Linked DNA regions of Drosophila melanogaster. The protein of the gene in region 1 interacts with the protein of each later gene in a pairwise test. Each region holds a gene or a part of one and is shown in the gene's direction. Other genes may lie near its edges.

The links.
Region 2: the proteins of Sam-S (region 1) and CCT3 interact in a two-hybrid assay, tested with the Drosophila melanogaster proteins (one large-scale study listed by BioGRID).
Region 3: the proteins of Sam-S (region 1) and sals interact in a two-hybrid assay, tested with the Drosophila melanogaster proteins (one large-scale study listed by BioGRID).
Region 4: the proteins of Sam-S (region 1) and CG17107 interact in a two-hybrid assay, tested with the Drosophila melanogaster proteins (one large-scale study listed by BioGRID).

Annotation. Positions count from the first base shown.
Region 1 is NT_033779.5:104,726-110,851, forward strand, and holds the start of Sam-S (S-adenosylmethionine synthetase), read left to right. Parts: upstream 1-2,177; 5' UTR 2,178-2,275; intron 2,276-3,035; exon of another isoform or gene 3,036-3,039; 5' UTR 3,040-3,113; exon of another isoform or gene 3,114-3,621; intron 3,622-3,862; 5' UTR 3,863-3,960; coding exon 3,961-4,084; intron 4,085-4,868; exon of another isoform or gene 4,869-5,025; coding exon of another isoform or gene 5,026-5,068; intron 5,069-5,680; coding exon 5,681-5,758; intron 5,759-6,029; coding exon 6,030-6,126. Other genes in the region: Nhe1 (Na[+]/H[+] hydrogen exchanger 1), read right to left, coding at 1-222, 280-611, 666-730, 787-1,190, 1,244-1,917. UniProt on the Drosophila melanogaster protein: Catalyzes the formation of S-adenosylmethionine from methionine and ATP. The reaction comprises two steps that are both catalyzed by the same enzyme: formation of S-adenosylmethionine (AdoMet) and triphosphate, and subsequent hydrolysis of the triphosphate.
Region 2 is NT_033777.3:16,644,882-16,650,923, forward strand, and holds CCT3 (chaperonin containing TCP1 subunit 3), read left to right. Parts: upstream 1-2,723; 5' UTR 2,724-3,014; coding exon 3,015-3,048; intron 3,049-3,106; coding exon 3,107-3,168; intron 3,169-3,253; coding exon 3,254-3,753; intron 3,754-3,819; coding exon 3,820-4,858; 3' UTR 4,859-5,097; downstream 5,098-6,042. Other genes in the region: CG10324 (uncharacterized protein), read right to left, coding at 293-1,065, 1,139-1,860, 1,910-2,046; Mettl4 (methyltransferase like 4), read right to left, coding at 5,165-6,042. UniProt on the Drosophila melanogaster protein: Molecular chaperone; assists the folding of proteins upon ATP hydrolysis. Known to play a role, in vitro, in the folding of actin and tubulin.
Region 3 is NT_033777.3:11,447,025-11,453,174, reverse strand, and holds the start of sals (sarcomere length short), read left to right. Parts: upstream 1-2,024; 5' UTR 2,025-2,086; exon of another isoform or gene 2,087-2,108; intron 2,109-4,812; 5' UTR 4,813-5,008; coding exon 5,009-6,056; intron 6,057-6,150. Other genes in the region: PGRP-LB (peptidoglycan recognition protein LB), read left to right, coding at 1-168.
Region 4 is NT_033779.5:10,679,564-10,684,011, forward strand, and holds CG17107 (uncharacterized protein), read left to right. Parts: upstream 1-2,402; 5' UTR 2,403-2,427; coding exon 2,428-2,718; 3' UTR 2,719-2,965; downstream 2,966-4,448. Other genes in the region: CG17105 (uncharacterized protein), read left to right, coding at 1,484-1,795; CG7299 (uncharacterized protein), read right to left, coding at 4,276-4,448.

The DNA of each region.
Region 1 (6,126 bases):
TCAGACAAGTGTTCAGAGTCGATTGCCTGGCCCCATTCGCGAGTTTTCGATAGGGAAATAGATTTTGAACGCTTCCTACCGCTGCCGTTGCGTCGACCTCCCTCCTCAGCGGCATTCCTTCCAGAGCCGCGTGCCCGCCGTTTTTTTCCTGGCTTAAGGTACTTTAGCAGAGGCATTGTGGAGCCCCCCAGCACTAGCGTGGTAAATAGCACAATGATTAATCTGAAATTTTAATTCTTCAATGACTGAGCATTATTTTACAATCCGGAATATGCTTACGTTGTTGTTATGATGACGTGTCGTTTCTCCTGGCTGTCAAGATTCAAGTGCAAAGATAGCGCGTAGGAAATCGCTCCGCGTAGGCCAGAAAACCACATAATGAACTGCATCTTGTTATTGATCTTATGCTCGCGAAATTTGTTGACCAAGAACGCGAGCGGAAAAATATTGCAGGCGCGGCCAATTAAGCAAAGCACAATGGCCCATATAACAAAAGATAGTTCAACTTGGTGTTTAAAAGAAAAGATTGCTAATCCCAGATAAGCAAACACGCAGGTCTCAGCAATGAAAGCTAGTGTCCTCATCGTCTGCTGCATGGTAATTTGGGTAACCTACGATTAAAAAAGTTTTAATAATATATAAAATAGGGATATCATATGACTTACAGTGGATAGGTTGAAATGCGTGTAGTGGGACATGACGATTCCGCAAAATAGTATAGCCATAATACCTATAGTTGAAAAAAATGTTTAGCTTTTAGAGTCATAGTCAACAACATTGATATACCGCTTAAGTGTATTCCCTCTGCCAAGACGTAAGGTGCGTAAGTAAACATTAGCATCATCGCGAACTCGAGGGATGGATGCTTTCGTAAATCGATGTGCTTCAGAAGAAGAGCCGAAATTAGTGCAAATATGACTCCAATGCCCGCCGAAGCAAAGAACATCGCGCAAAAGGTCTTCAACGCGCTGAACATGGCTTCTCCAGTGCTGGCCTCAGCATTGACGTTAGCGGATTGGGTTATGGATGCAGTCAGCACAATAGATATGGCGTCGTTGAGGATGCTTTCGCCGAATACCAACATGTTGAGTATGGGGTCTACGTCAAGAGCATGGAAAATTGCCACTGTTGCCACAGGATCAACAGCAGAGATGAGAGAACCGAAGGCAAAGGATTCCGAAAAGCTTAGGCTAAAATTTAGGATAAATTATTGAATGAAATTGACAATTTATTTTAAACTTGCCGAAATGCCACCTCCCCCAGGCCCAGCAGGTAAATCCCCGCCCCGATGACTAGTGCAGAAATTGTTGTACCGAATATGGCAAAGACCAGTATGGATCCGATGTTCTGAAAGAAGTTTCCCTTGTGCAGATTGTAACCGGACTCGAATATAATGGGCGGCAGGAGCACCAGAAAGAAGCCCATGGGCGAGAAGACCTCTTCACGTTTCCAACTGCCATTCTGCCCAGACATAACGTTCAGCGAAAGGCCAATAAAGGCGCCCAGAAAGACTACCACAATGCTTTCTGGCAGGTACTGGAACCCGGTCTGGAGCATAGAGTGGATAAGCAGGATGCCCAACATGATAACGCAGATGACGAAAAACAGTGAGAGTGAGGAGTTGTGCTCCTGCTCGACAGCATGGGAATCGATTAGAGGCGGATCTGTGACCAATGTGGATGCGTTTCCCCTTTTCGTGGTGCTTGCATTACCAGATGCAGAAATCGAGGGCGTGACATTTCCAAGCGGACTGTTGACGAAGACATCCGAAACGGTGTGGATAGAGCTACTATTATCTGTAGTGGTGGTGTTGCTTGATGTTTTGCTTTGGGGCACCTCCTGTCCACTGATGCTTTCCGGACCCGCGTGCACCAACAGTAAGAGTGCAGCTGCACTATAAGCTACCCAAACCCTCATTTTTGCCGACAAAACGTGACGTGGTCGCTATTAACGCTCGCATTTAACTTTTCACTATTTGTTCAATTTGTTTTTTCACAAACATCTGTTTATCGCCCTATCTGACGTATATCGGGGAGAGTTGCCGTATCATTTTGGCTTATTGGCGCGTGCCTTTCATATATTCAAAAGAAAATTGTGCACTTAATTGCGTGCAGTATATTTTACCATATAATGAATTTATTTAAATAATTGGCTTTTGCCCAGTCATTGTAGCTGATAGCTCTTGTGAAGTGTCTTGAAAATTGAGCATTTTAAGTTTAAATATTTTTGTCTACGTATTGAGAACGTTTCTTACGGCAAAAAGAAAATTATATATGTATTAGAAAAGTGAAATAATAAAAAACCTTGTTATTGGCAAAGTGATAAATTGTTTAGTTAAGGCTATTACAATAACTGACGATAAATCAGTAAAATAAATGCATTGCCACAATCTACAGTTCGCAAGCACCCACCATTTGTGCTCAAGAATAATGTGCCCTGCGCATCTGTTCGTTCAGGCACACGCGATCTTCTTAGGCCCCGTGGGGTCACACCTTATTTGAAAGATAATGGGGCTTGTTGTTTTCGGTTATATTCAGTGGGTATTAGAATTTTAAAAAATGTACATGCAAAAACTGATTACCAGGCTCCTTGATCTTGGCAGACCTTGTTTGTCTTCTTGGCTGTGGCATGACGTAAGCACTTTTTCAAAAGCACAAATTGTTCGAATAGTATGAGAACCCTAATTGACGACTTTCCTTGACAAGATAGTGTCGAACGATCCATCTCCAAAAGGGCAGTCACTCCATGTTAGGGAAAAGCTAGGGTTTCAACAGATACAGACATTCGTTTAAAAATTCGCTTCGAATTGCGCTTCGTGTAGCGATTGTCTATATCATCGAATATGTATATGTCAATTGCTGTACATAAGAGAAGCCGAGAGAGCAATGCTAAACAGATTTTAAAAATTAGGTATATAGGTGGCTGCCGTGGTAGCACATAGTTTTGTTCTGATAAGCTCTTATTTCTTGCCGACTCATCTTCTCAAATGCTGTCTACAAAAATTTATAAATATTATTCGTCTGTAAAAATCATCCGCAGTTGAACGCAGGTTGAGCAGGAAGCTAGTCGAGACTATAATCCATATCTTGTCTGATCCTTTGTTCAAAACCACAGTGAGTATAAAATAAAGGATCTGGATCTAGATTCACTACAGTTCACTCCGGAGCGGGGTGGCAACGCTGGGCGGCGGAACAGCTGCTTAAAACCCAAAAACGTGGAGATACTGAAGAAGTAAAATCATTTGAGAGTACCGAGAACGCTAGGAAAGTTTCCCTAAAGAGCGCCCAAATAAGTCTCAAAATAATAATCGAGTCAGCCGAAGAGAACCGCCTCCTCCGTTTGCGACGATAAGCAAAAGCCCGCTCTCTCGTTGGAGGTATAAATTCTGAATGGCATTAAAAAGTTGCGCTCTTTTTCTTCAGAACCGTCGCTAAGATAGGACGTGTGTTGGCTGCGCCGCTGATTTGGTTGCCGTCGCTGAACCAGTATAACTCAGAATCAGTGTGTATAATTTGTTGAACTAATAGCTAGAACGTCGAACACGCATTTTAAACAGCTAGCAGCACCGAGCCCTCACCTAGCGACTAGTTTAGCTTTGAACCCGCTCAACGTGCGTCTCATGTATGTAGCGACGATTGTGGCAAACGCGCAGCATAAAAACATAAAAGAAGGGCGATTATATAAAAAAAACTATAACGAAAAGTGTGCGAATACCGGAAAATCCCAACAGCCTCGAGGCGGCCTATAGCTTAGATTCGCGAATGCGAAAATAGATGTGTTTTGCAAGAGTTCGGAAAATCAATTTCGTTAAGCGTTTTTTAACAACCGCTAATGTGGCCTCTCTTTCTCTCTGTTCCCCCAGCTCCACCAACAATTTAGCCGACCGGAACTCGGGTTATAGCACTGCTCCCCCATTGCCCCTTCAAACTTCGAGTTACATATTACAAACTACCCATCAACATGCCGCAAAAGACAAACGGACATAGCGCCAACGGATGCAACGGCAGCAATGGCAACTCATATGACATGGAAGACGGAGCTACATTCCTGTTCACTTCCGAGTCCGTTGGCGAGGGTCATCCAGGTGAGTGCTTCATTGCATCTGCGGCGCCTCCTATTGCATCATACCGATAGTGTCAGTGTAAAAAAAGAAACAATCTCAAATGCCCCTTCGGGCGTGGTGAGAGATGTTGCCTGTCAGTTCTCATAACCTGACCAAACTGATTCTCTAGCGTCTGAGGCCCTTCTGTCTGAAGTCCCTTTCCCTGTATACCCAGTTCCACACCTCCACCGTCTACTCACTTCTGCTTACCGCCTGAACTCTAACAAAATGGCGACGAAATTATGTCCATACCTTTGTTGATTTCTACCCAATTTGCACGACTTGAACAGAGGCTGAGAACGGGAAGAAGAGCTAGTAAAACGTGCCTCTGTTGCATCGCCCGGTGACCAAGCCGGAAAGCTGGGACCACGGAGAACAGCTGGCTTCTCTTGAAATCCCCGCACAACAGCGGGCTAAACCTTGTGCTTGGATGGGCAGACGCAATTAATAGACTGGTTCTTTATCGTTTGCGGCTCTCACATATGTATGTATGTGTGTACAGAGAGACTACGTCATGCGCACCATGTGCTTGTGGCTCATGGGAGATGCGAAATTCAAGTATTCTCTACGTTGTTCTACGTTGTCCACGCACTTGTTCATTTGATCGCAGATGGCGATCAAAACAACGGCCAACACAAACATACCTTACATTTTTCTAGACCGCTGTCAAAGCTTATTTTTTTCACCGAAATTGCCAACCACGTGTTTTGCTCGAGCTCGATCTTTTCGCCCCTCCCAGAGTTTGTTTATATCAGCAGTGGCGACCAGTATAGTAGTGTGTTTGACAACAGCTGTTGATAAGCCGAGCGACCTTTTATACTACGCATTGATTACTTTTACTATTCTATACTATTTTATTTTATAATGCTAATTAAGTCGGCTTGGCAAGCTAGCCCTAGACAATCTAGCCCTATACAATCGTGATGATAAGCGCCGAGTGCCATTCAGAAGAATACACCCCAAATGGTTGACATTAATATCGCCTGTCTTTTTGTAATAAATGAGTGACGGACTTGTTAGAATAGATAATTAGACTAGCCGGAAATTGGAAACCCTGAAACCCATTTCAGAGTAGCTACTTTAAACCCTTGACCTAACTAGTTTCCTCGCAATCATTATCCCAGCCGAAATCGATACCATGCGCCATTTCTATGAGTCAACAGTTTTGGTAATTTATGTTGCTATTGCTGACGCATGTTCGAGTTCAATAACGCCTTTACTACGAAAAGTAGCCGAATGTTGACGGACTCCAATTACGCGCCAAGTTTTGAGGCAAGCGCGAGCAACCCGACTGGTATCAGATGAATCCGACTCCCAGGATTTCATGGACGATTCGGCTTCAAATGTCATCATTTTGTGTTTGGACAACACTACGGTCGCCTTATGCTCTTGTTCTGGGAATTGAATTTCGCTGTCAATAGCAGACAGATTAAATGAAACCGCATGGCCCAGCAAATTTTGATCCGTCGCACTGAATAACATTTTGGCCCGTTCCTCCTTCCACTCCCCGACAAAAATGCTTTCCCCTCCTTCTTCGCCCACCTCTGGCTTACCTCTTGCTTACCTTATTTTTTTTAGACAAAATGTGCGACCAAATCAGCGACGCTATCTTGGATGCCCATCTGAAGCAGGATCCAAACGCGAAGGTGGCGTGTGGTAAGTGTTATGAAACCTGGAGTACATGACTGCTCTGACCCAAAATCAGATTTATATTAAATTCGGCCAATGAAGGTGCGCTGACCAACAATAAATAATCTCATTCATAGAATTAATCAAGAATCACCGTGAGTGCCATTCTTTTTGAAGTTGACTTATTCGATAGCGCCAACATAAAAAAACAAGGTCAAACCACCGGCAAATCTGTTTTTGGATTACCTGAAAAAGTTGCCGAAATTTCTTTTAACACATTCCATAATATTTAATACAGAAACCGTCGCCAAGACGGGCATGATTCTGCTGTGCGGCGAGATCACGTCTAAGGCTGTGGTCGACTACCAGAAGGTTGTTCGTGAGACAGTGCAGCA
Region 2 (6,042 bases), on another chromosome or scaffold:
ATATCTTAAAAGATAAGAGCAGCGCATACAGAAAAAAAAAACTCGGAAAACTAGCAAATCCGTGGTTCTGGCCCCATCACATCTCCTACTATAAGTTTGTAACATGTAAGACAGAAGTATTCTCGAAACGAGGCGTACGGAGAGAGAAAAAAACGCGCAACAAAAGACAAGGCATTTTTGTGATTATTTTGTGAGTTAATTGAAATTTATGATAATCCCAAGTAAGATAAAAAAAGGAACTTAAGCGTCTAATGAACTATATTTAAATAAAGATTTCAACTAAATAGATCAATCACTGACGGTCTCTTGACCTTGATCGCGTGCGGGACCTGACATGCTTGCTCCTCTTGGTCTTCTTTTTGTGCTTGCTGTGGTGACGACGATGGTTTTCACCGAGGCTGTCATCGCTCTCTAAGCTGGAGTCGTTGTCCGCCTTTCTCGACTTGTTCTTGGACTTCTTTGAGTGTTTTCTTGACTTGTGGCTGGATGATTTCTTCTTGTGCTTCCTGCGTTCATATGCAGAGTCGGAGTCGCTCTCGGTGGACTCTCCCGTATCGTCTGCCTCGTCTGAACTACTCTTTGTTCTTCTGGTGCTTCGGGGACTTTGCGAACGCTTTTGGTCACGGTCTTCCCGCTTCGACTTAGATGGGCTTCTGCCTCTGGGACTCGGCGAACGACGACGCTCACGTTCCTCGCGTTTAGATACAGAGGAGCTACCACTCCGCACATACTTCTTTTCTCGATCCACCTCCTCTTTGTTAGATTTGGCTTCCTTGTACGATTTTCGCTCGTCTTTGTACGTCCTGCGATGTTCGTCTTTGTACGTTTTTTTGTCTTCATATTTGTAAGACCTTTTATCTTCTTCCTTGCATTTCATGCGATAGTCTTCTTTACTAGATCTCTGGTCCCCTGGCTTCGAACTCTTTTGATTTTGAGCTTCATCCCGGTCTGATCTAATTTCTTCCCTGCGGTCTCTGTCCCTTCTTCCTGACGGATTTTCCTGCTTCACAATAATCTGGCCATGCTCGTTTTCATTTTTTTTGAATTCTTCGTATTTGGCAGTGTCTGAAAGTAAATGTAAAAGAAATATAAAAATGTCACAAATATAAAGGATTTGCATTTTCCAGGCTCCACTTACTTATGCACTTGCCATACTGAGAGTACTCCTTGCGGGATACGGGCTGACAAAGGAACTCGTTGAACGCCTCTTTGGCCCCTCCAATTGCCATTTTGACAATTACTCGCCCTGCATGGTCATCAAAACCTTGGATTTGGCCATACTGATCCTTCTGCTTTCCGCCCAGAATGCGCACGTACGCCTGCTTCTTAATCTCCAGTACCTCGTTCTTCTCCGGCTGGACCAGTAGAGCTTTAGGTTTGAGCGCCTTATCTGCTCCCAGGCCCATGCCTTTGGGTCGCAGAAAGGGGGCATCATCGATGGGTCCTGAGCCCTTCTTTTTTGGCGGTGGATCAACCCAGCCCATGCCGCGCAGCATGGCTAGGCCAAATTGTTGTATCGGTATGTTGTCATAGTCATCTAGTGTTGCCTCCTTGGCACCATCGAGAGGCAGTTCGTCTGCGCTTAGGGCGGGCAGGACAAGTTTCTGGTCATCTAGGCCTTCGGCACCGTTATTTTGGATGGCAGATATCAATTCCCGAGCTGCTCTCTGTTCCAGACTCTCCGTTGGACCGCCTGCGGTGACCTCTGCTATAGACTGAGCCACTGGAGTCACCTCCTCTGGATCCGGTTCCTCCTCGCCCAGCAGAACTGCCCGCCTCCTCATCAGACTCGCCAAAGCGGACGAAGTCTTCTGCATGCCTATCATTTTGATGGTAAGAGGAGCAGCTTCCACCTTTTCGCTAAATATTACATATGAGTATAAAACTATTTCAAGATATTTTAACTTACTCGACTGGCATGATTTCGTTTCCTTCCAAGCATTTTATCAACTCCACCTTGCTTTCCTCTTTCGGCTGCTTGCTGGGCAGAATGTTTGGTTTCTTGGACAATTTACTAAAGCCAAAAGATATCTTCTTGGCCTCCATGTTGTCTAGTTAAAAAATTAATAACTATTAAAAACAAATTGAAGCCGAAATGTATCGTAAACAAACAGGCCACAGCTGACTCGCGGTTTGTTATCGATATCGATAATTTATTTAATTTATGAAACGCTTACACTACACTTTTAAAGTATTTGCAAAACTTATTTGTTTTTCCATTTATATATAAAAACTACCATGAAATCCATTTAATACGTTTTGAGCAGTTTTATTGAATACAGCACAGGATCTTCAAATATTAAAAAGTTCGACGCTGTTTATGTAACTCATCATTCCAAGTAATCACTTTTCCCCCGTTATATTCAGAATATCCTCCAACATTTTCTTTTTCGAAGGTGATACAATTTTCATAAATTATATTTTAACTTCTTTTGAGTTTAGTTGGTTAGGCTTTTTAGGCTTCAAAATTTCCACATTTTAATTATGATGTGATAGAAATATGCTATATAACATAAATTTAAAATCCATTCGTAATATAAATTAATTTCCAGTATCACTTACACCGTAGAAAATATTATTTATTGTTACAAGTTTAATGTTTTGATTTCGCTTAAACCTCAGGGTGGAAAATTTAAAACCAAGTTAGGCGCCTTCAAAAAATCGCAGTTATGACGAATGTAATTCTGTGACATCGATAACAAAAGCTGCATAGTGTAAGTATACTGTTTCTCGATATCGATTCTTAAGAGAGCTGCTGCTTCGAATTGTGGAGAATTTGAATTAAACTTATAAGCGATCGCAAAAGTCAGTTAGCAGTAAGTGAGGAAAGAAAAGAAACTAGAAGAAGGAACTGGCAGAAGTAACTAACAAGCCGGTCCGCTCAATATCCTATCGAACCTTCTCGAATAATGTGTCATCGGCGGTTCTAACCTCACTCATTCTCTTTCAAACAGCGGCAGCGCCAGCACGAGTTCAATTGTTTTCACGCAGAAATAAATTAAACAGCCAGAAAGATGTTCGGTGGACAGCAGCCAATACTCGTGTTGAGTGAGTATGAAATTTGCACGTCGTAGAGCCCAATTGCAATCGAATTACCCGCCGACAGGTCAAAACACAAAGAGAGAATCGGGCCGCAAAGTGCAGTTGGAGAACATCCAAGCCGGAAAGGTATGCGTGACTCACATGTCTGGGTCTTGGGTTTTTGTGTTCTCGCGTTTTCCGACCATCTGTTGATTAAAACGTCTTTTTCCAGGCCATCGCCGATGTGATACGCACATGTCTGGGGCCACAGGCCATGCTGAAGATGCTGATGGACCCAATGGGCGGCATCGTGATGACCAACGATGGCAACGCCATCCTGCGTGAGATCACTGTGCAGCACCCGGCGGCCAAGAGCATGATTGAAATTGCTCGCACACAAGACGAGGAGGTTGGCGATGGTACCACATCGGTCATCGTCCTGGCCGGCGAGATGCTGGCCGCCGCCGAGCCCTTCCTCCAGCAACAGATCCACCCCACTGTTATCATTCGCGCCTATCGCGAGGCCCTCGAGGACATCGTCGGCCACCTGCAGTCCCAGCTTAGCATCCAGTTGGACGTCAAGGATAAGGCCAAGATGGCCGATGTGGTCAAGGCCTGTGTGGGCACCAAGTTCATTGGCAAGTGGTCCGACCTTGCCGTCAAGATTGCCCTGGACGCAGTCGAGACAGTGACGCTAAGTGAGAACGGCCGTCTGGAGGTAGACATTAAACGGTAAGAACGAAATTTGTTATGCATATTATTTTTGAATAAATAATTTTAACTTTGTTACTTTCACAGCTATGCCAAGGTGGAGAAGATCCCGGGTGGCGCCATCGAGGAGTCGTGTGTTCTTAAGGGCGTGATGATCAACAAAGACGTGACGCATCCCAAGATGCGACGCCTCATCGAGAATCCCCGCATCGTGCTGCTTGACTGCTCGCTGGAGTACAAGAAGGGCGAGAGCCAAACCAACGTGGAGATAATCGGGGAGCAAGACTTCACCCGCATGCTGCAGATCGAGGAGGAGTTTGTGCAGCGCATCTGCGCCGACATCATTGCCGTGAAACCGGATTTGGTATTCACTGAGAAGGGTGTCTCCGATCTCGCCCAGCACTATTTGCTGAAGGCTGGCATCACGGCCATCCGTCGGCTGCGTAAGACTGACAATCTGCGCATCGCCCGCGCCTGTGGTGCCACCATCGTGAACCGCACTGAGGAGCTAACCGAGAAGGATGTGGGCACGGGAGCTGGACTGTTCGAAGTCAAAAAGATCGGCGATGAGTACTTCACTTTCGTGACGGAGTGCAAGGAGCCCAAGGCCTGCACCATCCTGCTGCGCGGTGCCAGCAAGGACATCTTGAACGAAACGGAGCGCAACCTGCAGGACGCCCTGCACGTGGCCCGCAACTTGGTGCTGGAGCCACGCCTGGTGGCTGGCGGCGGAGCCGTTGAGATGGCTGCCTCCCAGCTGCTCACGCGCAAGCAGGTTAAGGGACCATACACGGCGGTGGCCCACGCCCTAGAGATCATACCGCGCACACTGGCTCAGAATTGCGGCGCCAACACGATCCGTGCTCTGACTGCTCTCCGCGCCAAGCACGCCTCCCACACCGGCGATGGTGTCTGCGCCTGGGGCATCGACGGCGAGTCCGGCGAAATCGTGGACATGAACGTGAAGAACATCTGGGAGCCGCTGGCCGTCAAGCTTCAGACCTACAAGACCGCCGTGGAGACGGCCATCCTGCTGCTGCGCATCGATGATATCGTCTCTGGATCAAAGAAACGCGGCGGCAACGAGCCCACCAATCCGGCGGCCATGGCCCAGGGTCAGGAGTAGTAGCCTGCGATTAACCACGTGTATTAATAATGCTTACTATCCTTTAATACTTAATTTAACACTCAAAAGAAAAAACAAAACAAAATCCCACACACGCCACCCCAAATGTTTAACATTTAGCTTCAGCCAGGCATCGTTGGCTTCTCTGGAAGAAGGAAACCCATCCGCCGGCCGCCTACACACAAAATTCAAATGCATTTGCTCTCATTAACAGTACACAAATAAAATTGTTAAAACTCATAGCTGCTTATAAATCCCTTATTTAATGAGGTACTTGTAAAAATTAAATACAATAATTAGGCGTAGCTAATTTACCTCCTCCTGGTTGCAATGTTCTACTTTACGGACTTCATATAGCCTTTCGTCCATCAGTTTGAGCACTTCTAAGCCAATTGAAGTGAAGTGGGGATGCAGATATCGGGCAAACAGCTCCAGGCAGTTTGGTTCCAGCTGGTCCTTATCCAACAGGAGGTGCTCCCTCAGCCAAGACAGCAGTGGTGGCTTGTGGGAATGCACAATGCTGGGCACGCTGAAGATCAGCTCGGTCTGTTGGATATCTTTTCCATAGTTTTCAGAAGCATCGGAGCGACAGGCCACGTAGAGCATCTCGTAAGGCTGCTTCTGGGTGAGATCCGACTGCGGGGGAGCAATTAGTTCATGGTCTGTGCTAAGTTTGTACCATCGGAGCTTGTGGAGCAACCGGAGATTCCAACTGGGCAGCAGCTGCTGCTCCAGGGCCAACTGATGCAGCGTCGAATTGGTGCACCAGATGGCCACCAGTGACCGTGGGTGCGTAAGCTTCGAGAGCGGTATGTGCGACAATTGCTCATTGCTCAGCATCGAGTATCCCAGCTCCGGCTTGGCCCGCTTCAGCCTGCGGATGTACTTATTCCGCCACGGAGGATCCAGCACGATGAGATCGTAGGCGGGCAGAAGTTGGTGCAGTAGTGCAGGCAGATTGTCCACATTGTGGTTGAAGAATCGGGATTGATTGGGAATCAAGTACACGCCACGGGATCCATCAACTCTCAGAAACCGCTGCATCCGTCCACTTTCGTTGGCTCCATGCAACTGGGGCACGTTGTAGCCATCCTCCCAGTGCCTCTTCATCGGTGAACTGTCCTCCGGTTCAACGGGCTTGCTCAGAAGCTCTAGATATTCATTCACTAAGTGTAAATCCTCCA
Region 3 (6,150 bases), on another chromosome or scaffold:
CCTGGCGGCCGCCTGTTCGCCGAGATCTCCAGCTGGCCGCACTTTACCCACATAAACGACACCGAAGGCGTCAGCAGCACCACGGCGCCCGTCGTGCCCCACGTCCATCCACAGGCGGCAGCACCACAAAAGCCGCACCAATCCCCGCCAGCTGCGCCCAAGGTCTAGGCTGGATTGGAGGGCCCTCATCGTCCTCGCAAAGCTTACGAGTTTAAGAGAAGCCACAACGAGCTCGGCTCCACGCACAACGCCAAGGAGTTCATTCAGTATTCATTAGATGTCTCTTCTAACATTTCACAAATAAAGCAATTTCTAGATGATAACACTTAAACATAACCCCCGCTGTTGCTCTTTGTGTCCGCACAATCGACCCACCGCCCCATCGCCCCCCGCCCGCGTTCGCACTTGTCAAATCAAATAGCAATTAATTTGTGTCAAATTCGATTTCGATGGCAGAAGTTTTTGGACGACACGCGGCGCTGAAAATGTCGGCGACCCCGGCGCATCGAAAGGTTTTTCCAGCCATTTGACATTGGCTCGCCATGCGAGGTGATGCGTAGTGGTTTTGGGGTCCAAAAGTACCCGCCAATCCTCACATGCGGACGAAACCATTCTGGGAGCATTTTGGGACTGATGAATTAATAAGACCCCGGGGGAAGTCGCATCATATTGGCATTCCAACCCACAGCGCAATTGCCTTTAAGCCTATTTTTAAAGCCCCCCAATACATATGCGCTGTATTTTGCCAAATGAATAAATATATAATTAATATTGCCGAAATGCTGTTAGATAGACGGACGGACGGACAGCAAAAAAAAAAAAAAGAATAGCAATGGCCCGTTTAAGCGGAAATTTCTCGGCTATTTTGTGTGCGCGGGAATGTTTGCCGTTCAATTTGGCATACTTTTCGGCTGATGCTGACAAGGCAAAACAATTAGTGGCGTGCTTTCGCGCAGATGTGTATAAAAAAACGAAATATTTGAAAACATGCCATTGATAACCTACATTGCACGTTAAATAAATATTTGCGGCAGTGGCATAGACTTTAATCATTTGTTTTCGCTCTGTTGCAGCTATTGGATTGATTTCGGCGGCAGCAAGTAACTCAGTAACTCTTTTTATCGAAAACGATTCGAAAATGCTATCAAAATTAAATTAGTTCAATCGAACACTCCTGTGGAAACTCGATATGCAAATGGCATACATTATGTTACGTTGATAAGGTGATAAGAGGCTTACTCACTGATTCAGCTTATATTACCAGTTCATTAGTATCATCACCAATCAATTAGTCTAGCAATAGTTCAATCGATAAAGGGGTCCCCAGCATACAGATACGCACTGATCAAACGATCGATCGATCGATTGCACCGCTCCACCGAAATGTGGAGCACACGCGAGTGAAACGGGGAAGCAACCACTTGGTAGACAATGTAAATATTGAAAGCGATTCGGAGAGAACGAACGCATTGGGACAGAACTGACCATCGAACAGAAGCACTAATGGGTTTGGACTTTCTAGACGAGTGGTTTCTATCACAGGGTAAGACGCACCAACCACCCATCCACCAAACCACCCACTCCCCCTGAAATTAGCTGCGACGCCCACGCCGCCCGAGAAACTTGCGTAATTGTGGTCCATTGAATGCGAGGCGCCTGATAAGAGGCCCCTAATGATGAGCGGATATCGAGGGGGTTGTATCCTTGGGGCACACGGGCCACATAGCCAATAGCCGGCTATTAATAATTCCATTGAACTGCACCTGCCATAAGGTCAATTGGATCCGCCGCGGATCCGCCCCATATCCCCCCAAACCCCCACAGACCGTGCCCACATATCAAAAAAGATGCTAAAAATATGCCTCTGTCGGTCAACAAAATTTTCATTTCACTTCATTTTGTGCTCACCGAAATACGACGAAGAGATAATGAGCGAAATCCCACGAGAGAGGAATTCGTAGAGCGAGCGGGAAAATTTTCAAATTTTTCACCCATCGCCGTGGCGTTGGAAAATGTATGAATTTAGTTTTTGAAACGCCGTCATAGGCGCTGCTGTTGCCTTCGCTGCTGAAAATTCACTACCAGAGTTCGTGGCTGTGTGTGTGCGGGTGTGTGTGTGCCTGCGGTTGTGGTGATGTGCGGGTGTCTGACCCAACCAGCACACACGTACAATTCAAAGAGATATACAACATATATATATATATATGAATATATATCTGTGCAATATATAGTACAACGACGCGAACGTGCTACGAAAACTGCAGCGAGCGCGAATGAACCAATTAATACACATAATAAAAATCTGAAAAATCCGTGAAATATCCAAAAATATAGCATATAGCCACAGACACAGATTCGTGTACATTTGGGCGGCAATATGCGCAGCTCTTGTCACTGGCCAATCGATCTAATAAATCTCTCTGGAGGGGCGTTATGAATGGCCAGTTCCCAAAATATCCCGTCCGATATATTTGTTTTTTTTTTAAGCACTTTTGTTGACAGGCAATCTTAGGATGAAATATGGCCGGGAATTAGCTGTTAGTTGCCATTCTGAGCACAGATCCGCGAAACTTTTGCGTCAAATTAGCCAGTCTCATTAACAATTTTAATTGAAATTGCATTTTTGTTTCGTCCTCGCCTTAACTATCTTCTGGAATCCTCTGCAATGTTCGAAATACAGTCGTACTTCGATATAACTTCCCTTGCTTCGTGTGCTGTCAAATGGTCAATGGATCTAATTTACGAATCTGATTCAATTGCCAACCATTAATTAGTAATCGATAAGCATCGCTTAAGCTGGGAGTGGAAACAGCTTAGAATGCATTCAAAGCAAATTGGAACTGACAGATAGGCAACCAAATAGACGTCGGAAAAGATACTTTCGTCGGTTATTCTTGCAATGGAAGTTTGACTGTATTTCTAAGTATAATTTTTATTTGCATGTCATGTTTAATTAACGCCTCCATGCAGGAAAGACCGAGAAAGTGTTCGTCGCTCCGGCCAAAAAAAAATTTGCAATCGCCCCAAAACGAGTGGAATGGAAATGAATATGGTGAATGTGGGGGAGGGATGGGCTTCGACGAAGGGGGTTGGATGGTTTTGGACCAGGCCATGGAATGGCAATGGAATGAAACGAATTCGGATTTCATTCTGACCCCCGAGAGCGCCCCTTCTATCACAAATTTTTGGCCTTTTTTTTCCGTCCGTACAACCAGTTTTGTGTACGTTTTTCTGTCTACTTTGTGAAACGAGCCAGTTGAATAAAAACAAAACAAAGTGAATGGAAAAAAAGGCGAAAGACGAAAGCGCCAGAGATATGTATGTTTCCTTTTATTCTTTCGATTTGGTTCCGTTTTGTCTCTCCCAATTGGGTGCTTCTCTTCACCGCCAGTGTCTTTCACTTTTTTCCACTTTTTCCACTCTCAGCGGCGGGCACAAAGAACCTAAAATTAAATATTTTCGCCTTTTACATATCGCAGCCAGTGGCAGAGCAAATCGTTTCTGTTATTGTTTTTGTTGCTCTATTCCCATACACCGACGCTGTTGTTGCTGTTGTTCTTTTTGTTTGTGCTGTTTATTGGAGTGCATATGTACGGACGGACGGACGGACACACACACATACGCAGGCGTTTAGCTGGACATTCACATTCACAGCACAGTGGCGGCCAACATAATAGTGGTCACAGAAAGTTGCAGTTGCAAGCGAGAGGAATGTTTCGCTATCCTTTTGCCCAATTAGAGCAGGAAAAGTTGCAAATTGTTGTTTACAATCTGCCCAGGAATGAGGTCATTAAAAATACATAGAAAAACGGCAGAGGAAAATCGCGAGCCAAAGAAAACTCAGCAAGAGCGAATAGTTTCCATCTTCTGCACTTTACTTTATCAGCATTAAGTCAAGCTATAACTTTTCTCGACCATGAGTAATTGATTTAAAATTCATTTTATATGTAAACATTTTTCGTTCTATCGTAATTGGTTTTCGTATGAAAGAAATATTGGAAATCACCAGCAAATGGCACAATATGTTTGTTGAATAGTTCGGCATATAATACTTTTCTGAAAAGTAAACATTCCCAAAGCATTTTCATTTCATCGTTTTCGTTCAAATTATTTAAATTATTTGACAAGTTGAAAGTTTATAAGAAAACCTTGTTATCTTGACGGATAGGATGATCTCGATTTTATCGATTGCTATAAATATCCTGGAATTTAAACATTTGGCTGCAACTGTAGGCGTTTTTGTGAGAGCCTGCAAAAGCATTCCACTCAGTTGGGATTTGTTGATGCATTTGTCCCGGTCCCCATTGCCGACCGCCATCATCCCCATATCCTCTCTACATTCCTATTTCCATCACATTCGGCATCTGTGAATGTCCCTGTCCATGACTATGACACAAAGGCCTACATTCTGTCTCTTAGTAGAAACAGCGACAGAAACAAGAAAAACAGCCAGCAAAGCTAATGAGCGCATTCAGTTAAAAATAAAATTCAAAATGAAACATACCCAAATATACACGAAATGAAATGAATTGAATCGGATTGAAAGTATCTCAAACAGCTGTTGCTCATCGTCGGCAACGGACCACGAATAAAATTCCCAGCAACAAATTCGCGACGAAAAAAATACATAAAAATCTATTAGAAAAGAAATACGCGTAAAATAGAATTATCAAGGCGAGGCACATACACAAAAAAAATCAAAAAACAAATAGAAAAATAAACGAAAAAAATTACGGAAAATCTGAATGAAAGAACTTTTTCGGACAACTTCCCCCGACGGTGCTAATGTGCAAAGTTTTGTGTTTTCATCAGCAGCAACGCCAAGAGAAGCGGGAAAAACAAGCAAAGAATTCACGGCAAATTATTTAAAAAGAGTGTGCGAACAGACGGGCGACGACATCGGGCCCTGGAGAATTTAACACCAATAAGACTGGAAAAAAATATAAACCACCAGAGGGAATAGTCTAGAATAGTCCGGAGGACCGCAAGCAGTTCGAGCGACTACGAAATGCCGTTTGTGACGCCCCGTGCGGGGACAAGCAGTGCAAGCAGTGCGCCCGGCGGACGCACCACGTTCCGTCCGCCATGGGTGAAGGACGACGGCGGCACCAGTGGCACCAGCAGTACCACAAAGCCCACTGCCACTCCGTGGGCAAAGAAAACAGCGACGACGACGACCGCCTCTCCGGCAACAAAGGAAAATGGAGAAAAGCCGACTGTGGCCAAACCAAAAGCAACTGCTACCACGACTGCAGCCGCGAGGAAGACTTCGACCCCTGAACCGGCTAAGAAGACGATAGAGCCTGTAAAGAAATCTTCACTGGCCACAAGCACAACGGCGGCCAAGAAGACACCAGAACCCGTAAATACCAAGAAAGCACCGGAGCCAATCAAGAAAGTGGCGCCCACCGTGGGGCCCAAGAAGCCAGTAGCCACCACTTCAGCGCTCAAAAAGAAGAAGGAGCCGACACCACCACCCGAATCCTCCTCCGAGGAAGAAGAAAGCGAGGAGGAGGAAGAGACCGAAGAGGAAACCGAGTCTGAGGAGGAGGAAAGCGAAGAGGAAAGCGAGTCCGAAGAGGAGGAGAGCGAGGAAGAGGACACCACCGTGGACGAGAAGGTGCCCGAGCACGTGAAGAAGGCGGCCCAATTGCGACCCACCACCGTGAACAAGAAGCCGGAACCGGAAAGTGAGTTGACCCAACGTTTTACCATGGAGAAACCCAAATTACGCAGCGTGGTGGTCAAGCGGGATAAGTCCTTGAAAAAGATGGCCACCGAAGACGACGACGAGGCCGAGGAGGGCGAAACGGAGGAGGAGCGCGACCGGCGGCGACGTTTCAAATTAGAGAAGCCCAAGCTGCGGCATGTCAAGCGCGAGGAGAAGCCTTTGCCCAGCAAGAGCACCGACGACCTGGCCAAAATCCGGCCCGTGCTCAAGAAGGTACCCAAGATCGATGAGCTCCTCAAGGAGCCGAAAGAGGAGCCAAAGCCCGAGTTCACGACCAAGACCCTACGCAAAGCGTCCATAAAGCGCGAGCCGAGCATCAAGAGCGGTAAGTTGTCCGATCCAAATCGATCCGATCCGGAGCCAGCTCCAGTGATGGAACCTAACCCGATGCCCGACTGGATTAACCCGATTAACCTCTG
Region 4 (4,448 bases), about 11 Mb from region 1:
AATCCGCACAGACATTAAACAAAACAAAAATAATATTGTGCAAAATTTGTGAACGGTCTGCCAAATGACAAAAATGAGGAGAAATGCGTGAGATAAGCGATTTTATAAATTATAAATAAAACATGAACACCCATCTTTCGTTTTGTGTTTGTTTTGGCGATTGCACAAAGCGTTAGTAGGTATTTTAAACATTGTTGATCCGAAAATCGATCTTCAAATGGGACATAATATTGCCGCAACGAAACGTGATTGGCTGAGGTGATCCAAAAGATACCCTCTAATAGTAGCAGAGGGAAAGATAATTTAAATCATGTTTATGTAGGGTCTATTCCTAAAATTGAATATTCAATATAGAGTTTTTAATATAGAGCATTCAATGTAGAGTATTCAATATAGTATAGACTTCTTTCAAATCTAATTCACTGAATATGAATCATTTTGTATATTGTTCGAGCAGCGCACCCAAGAAATCAAGTCAAACACAAGCTCAGACATTCAGCAGCCCACAAGCTGATCGCTGCCCACCTGCAAAAAAAAAAATAAAAAACAGAAAAAGAAAAACCGGCAATCTCCTCAAGAGTTGTCGTCATACATTTTTGGGCTTTATGTTCCGGCATGGACGCAGTTAGTCCGATGGACAGACACGTGGACCAGTCAAGCTGACTGGTTTGGTGTGGTCAGGTCTGCAGGCTTGGGTCGCCTGGCAGATTATTCATTCATCGATCGGCTTGTGAAAATCCATGAATCCATGAAGAAGCACAGGGCTTTTTTGGGGGTTTTGCAATGAGTATCACGTTTGCTATGCCTCACCCTCGATGGAATTTGAAAGCAATCGGCTATAAAACAAACACCAAGCGCTAATTTCCATTTGAACTTGAGCGGCAGTCGCTAAACTGCATGTTGAATATGGTTCGAATGAATGCGGATCGAAGGTTTTGGCGATACGGGTTTTTTTTTTTTTGGCCACTTAACTGGCCTTTATTTACTAAGCCAACTGACTTAGTAAGCTCTAGGTCGTGGGATGTACCGATATCAGGCAGTTAGTCATAAGCTTAACGGGATGAAGAAAAATATATATATTAAGATGGTAACCACAATTGCAGAAATGAAATTAATAGATTAGTTATTTCTATCATAACATTGAAGTAATTTCTCTATCTCTCCATTTTCCTTGCTTATGAATAAATTTATCCTGGACATTTAATGACCCAAATTACTACAGTAGATTGATTTGTAAAACAAAAAGATTCGCAAATATTTCTCACTGTATGCTTGCTACAGTAAGCTCTGGCTATAAAAGCTTCATTCGCAGAAAATAAAAACAACTTCTGTTACAGCCGAAAACTATGCCACTTATATATTTAAGCTCTAGTTAACCATTGTTAACAAGTTAAGTAGACTTATTTTTGCTTTCTTTGTTTCATTATGGAAATTAAGTTGTCATACGAAAAAAAAAAAACACAGGATAGTGGGACATCCCACGATGAAATTATATGCACTCTGCGCTATCCTGCTCCTTGCCATTGTGGCAGTCCAAGGATATCCTGGTATACACGGTGGCTTTGGACACGGAGGACACGGTGGACTCAGTGGCTTGGGAGGACTTGGCGGCTTAGGAGGACGCGTTGGTTTCGGAGGACCCGGTGGCTATGGAGGACCCGGTGGCTACGGAGGACTCGGTGGCTACGGCGGACCCGGTAGCTACGGCGGTGGTGGTGGAGGCGCAGTAGCCACTGCCAACGCTAATGCAAACGCAAACTCAGTTGGTTACAGTCCGGGTGCTTACTACGGATAAGGAATGATGATAACAGCAGTCCAGAAACGGCAATTGCTTTAAAAAATAAACAAATGCATAATTATTGCATAAAGACTAAGACATTTTTCTATTATTACTTTTGCCAAACGTTATCAACACAATGGCCTTACCTTCTATGTATAATATACTATAAATATAAATTTATTAATTTTTAATTATTATTTATTAAGTGAAGAATATATATATAATTTTCGGGTTCAAAAGTTGTAATCACCGGAAAAGGAATTTTGTATAAAATGTGTAAACAGAAGCAAATCTAAGGACTTACATGATAAACTAGTTTTTATAGCTGATTATCATAATGAATTTATCTGAGCTTTTTTACAGCCTGAAAATATACTTTACCAAAACATGGCTTGCCAAAGCTAACCAGTTTTCAATTATTGATAACATAGTATATAAGCATATACTATACATATAGGTAATATTAAACGTCATGCGTTTTTAATATATGTCTAATTAATGTGCTAATCGAAGCCCCCATATATATGCCGATACAATATCGATTCTGTGATTTTTTTTGTTTTTCAGATAAACAAGTCGTCCACCTGTCACGGATGCTGGTATAAAAGAGGCCAGCACGCGATCACAAAACATCGCAATCTCTAACGATGAAGTTCCTGGCTATCTGCATTTTTCTAATCTTCGCCCTGGTGGCCGTTCAGGCACATCCTGGTGGATTCGGCGGATTCGGTGGAGGCGGTGGTGGCGGTGGTCGCGGTGGAGGCGGTGGAGGCGGTGGAGTCGGTGGAGTCGGCGGTTCGAACGCAGTTGCCAACGCGAATGCCGCTGCAACCGCCGACAGCAGAGGAGGCGGCCCAGCTTCCGCCTCGGCCTCGGCCACTGCAACCGCCAACGCCAGCTCCGGAGGAGGTGGAGGTGGACATGGCAGACATGGATAGGCTCGAAACGGATTCATAACTGTACTCTCGAAAAGTGGGCACGTCCGCTGACAGACCTACTAAACTGAAACCAATACCAATACCAATAAATATTAAAATGCTAATTCTGTTTTTGGAAATCCAAGATGTTGTTTTCGTATATTAGGTTAATAACCAGTTTATGAGTCGGGCATTATTTATAGATCTAATGACGTCAAACAAGATTTCTCTAGCCTCCTAAAAACAGACTAAGTTAACAGCGGGAGCTAATATTAGAAACTATGTTTTAAAATGTATCTAACAACTTGAATTACAACTGAAAAGTATGCATTATATATATATAGTTTTTGCAAATAGTTAGTGCATCTCAATTTTAATTTAATTTATTTTTATATTTAAAATCATTAAGCTCATTTCATTCATCATTTGTTTGTACAGCTTACCCGGAAATCCAAACAATTTGTGAGTTTTTTTTTTTTGTGTGATTACTTTTTTTATGTAATTAAGTAATTGCATTTGCCACCCACAACAAGTCTTGAATTTGGCCACTTACGGAGTGACACACTCAATTTCAGCAGGTCTAATAAATCGAAGATATTTTTTCACAAATGAAGTCCGACGTCTCTTGATATATTGTCAAGCTTCTTAAAACTCGGGTTTGCAATATTTAAATTTGCAAATTATCAACATCTGGATAAGTTTCTACGTTTACGGTAGCCAAACCTTTCCGAAATAAAACTAGTTTTATACCCCTTAATCGTACAGTAATAGGGTATGCTAGGCTTATTAGAATGTATGAAACAGATAGAAGGAGCATTTTCAATCTATATTGCATTCAGATTTTAGGGACGTTGCACTTTTGAAAAATGCTTTTGATATTTTTTTGTTTAATTACCATTTTTTCCTATCTATTGATGTGCCAAATGAACTAGTTGAGTAACGGGTATCAGATAGTCGAGGAACTCGGCTATAGCGTTTTTTCTAGTTTTTAATTCTAGCTAAATTATCTACATATTATTATCATAGTTAATTTTTGCACTAATCAAAGCACACAGTCTGCATATCAATGATGTTTTCGAAATGTCTGTTCTTTTCTGTTGCTCTAGAAAGTGGAACACACATTATAATTATAATTTGTAAATCTAAAGAGTAAAATATTTTTCTTTGTTTATTCCAAAAAGACTACAAACATTTTTACAAAATACGCTTTCAATGTATGAATTGTAATTTTATCAGCCTAGAACAATTTTGCGACTGAATCATTTCATTTATATTTTCATAATAGAAATGCATAAATTCGAAATAAAATATTATCAAAATATTCTTGACAAAGCATTCCCCTGGAAAAAAAAATGTAATTGGATGTGTGCAAAAATGCACATGTTCTTTTTATGCACATTCAATTTAGTGGATCTATACTTAAAAAGGATTCTGTGTTAGTTTTCCTTGTTTGCATGGACCTCATTACTGTGATGACATGCCTTTCAAGAATTACAAATGTTCATAGTTTTGTGTTTTTTATTTTTATTTTTATAAATATTAAAAATCTACTCAGTGAATAAATTCGGATCTGTTGGCTTATTTGCGGAATGCGTTGGCGACGGCATTGGCGTTAGCATTAGCACTGCCACCTCGGGTGTTGGCATTGGCATTGGCGTTTGCATTGGCATTACCACCGCCAAATCCTCCGTCAGAGTTGGCGACAGCATTGGCATTGGCGTTAGCTTCGGAGTTACCACCGAATCCTCCTG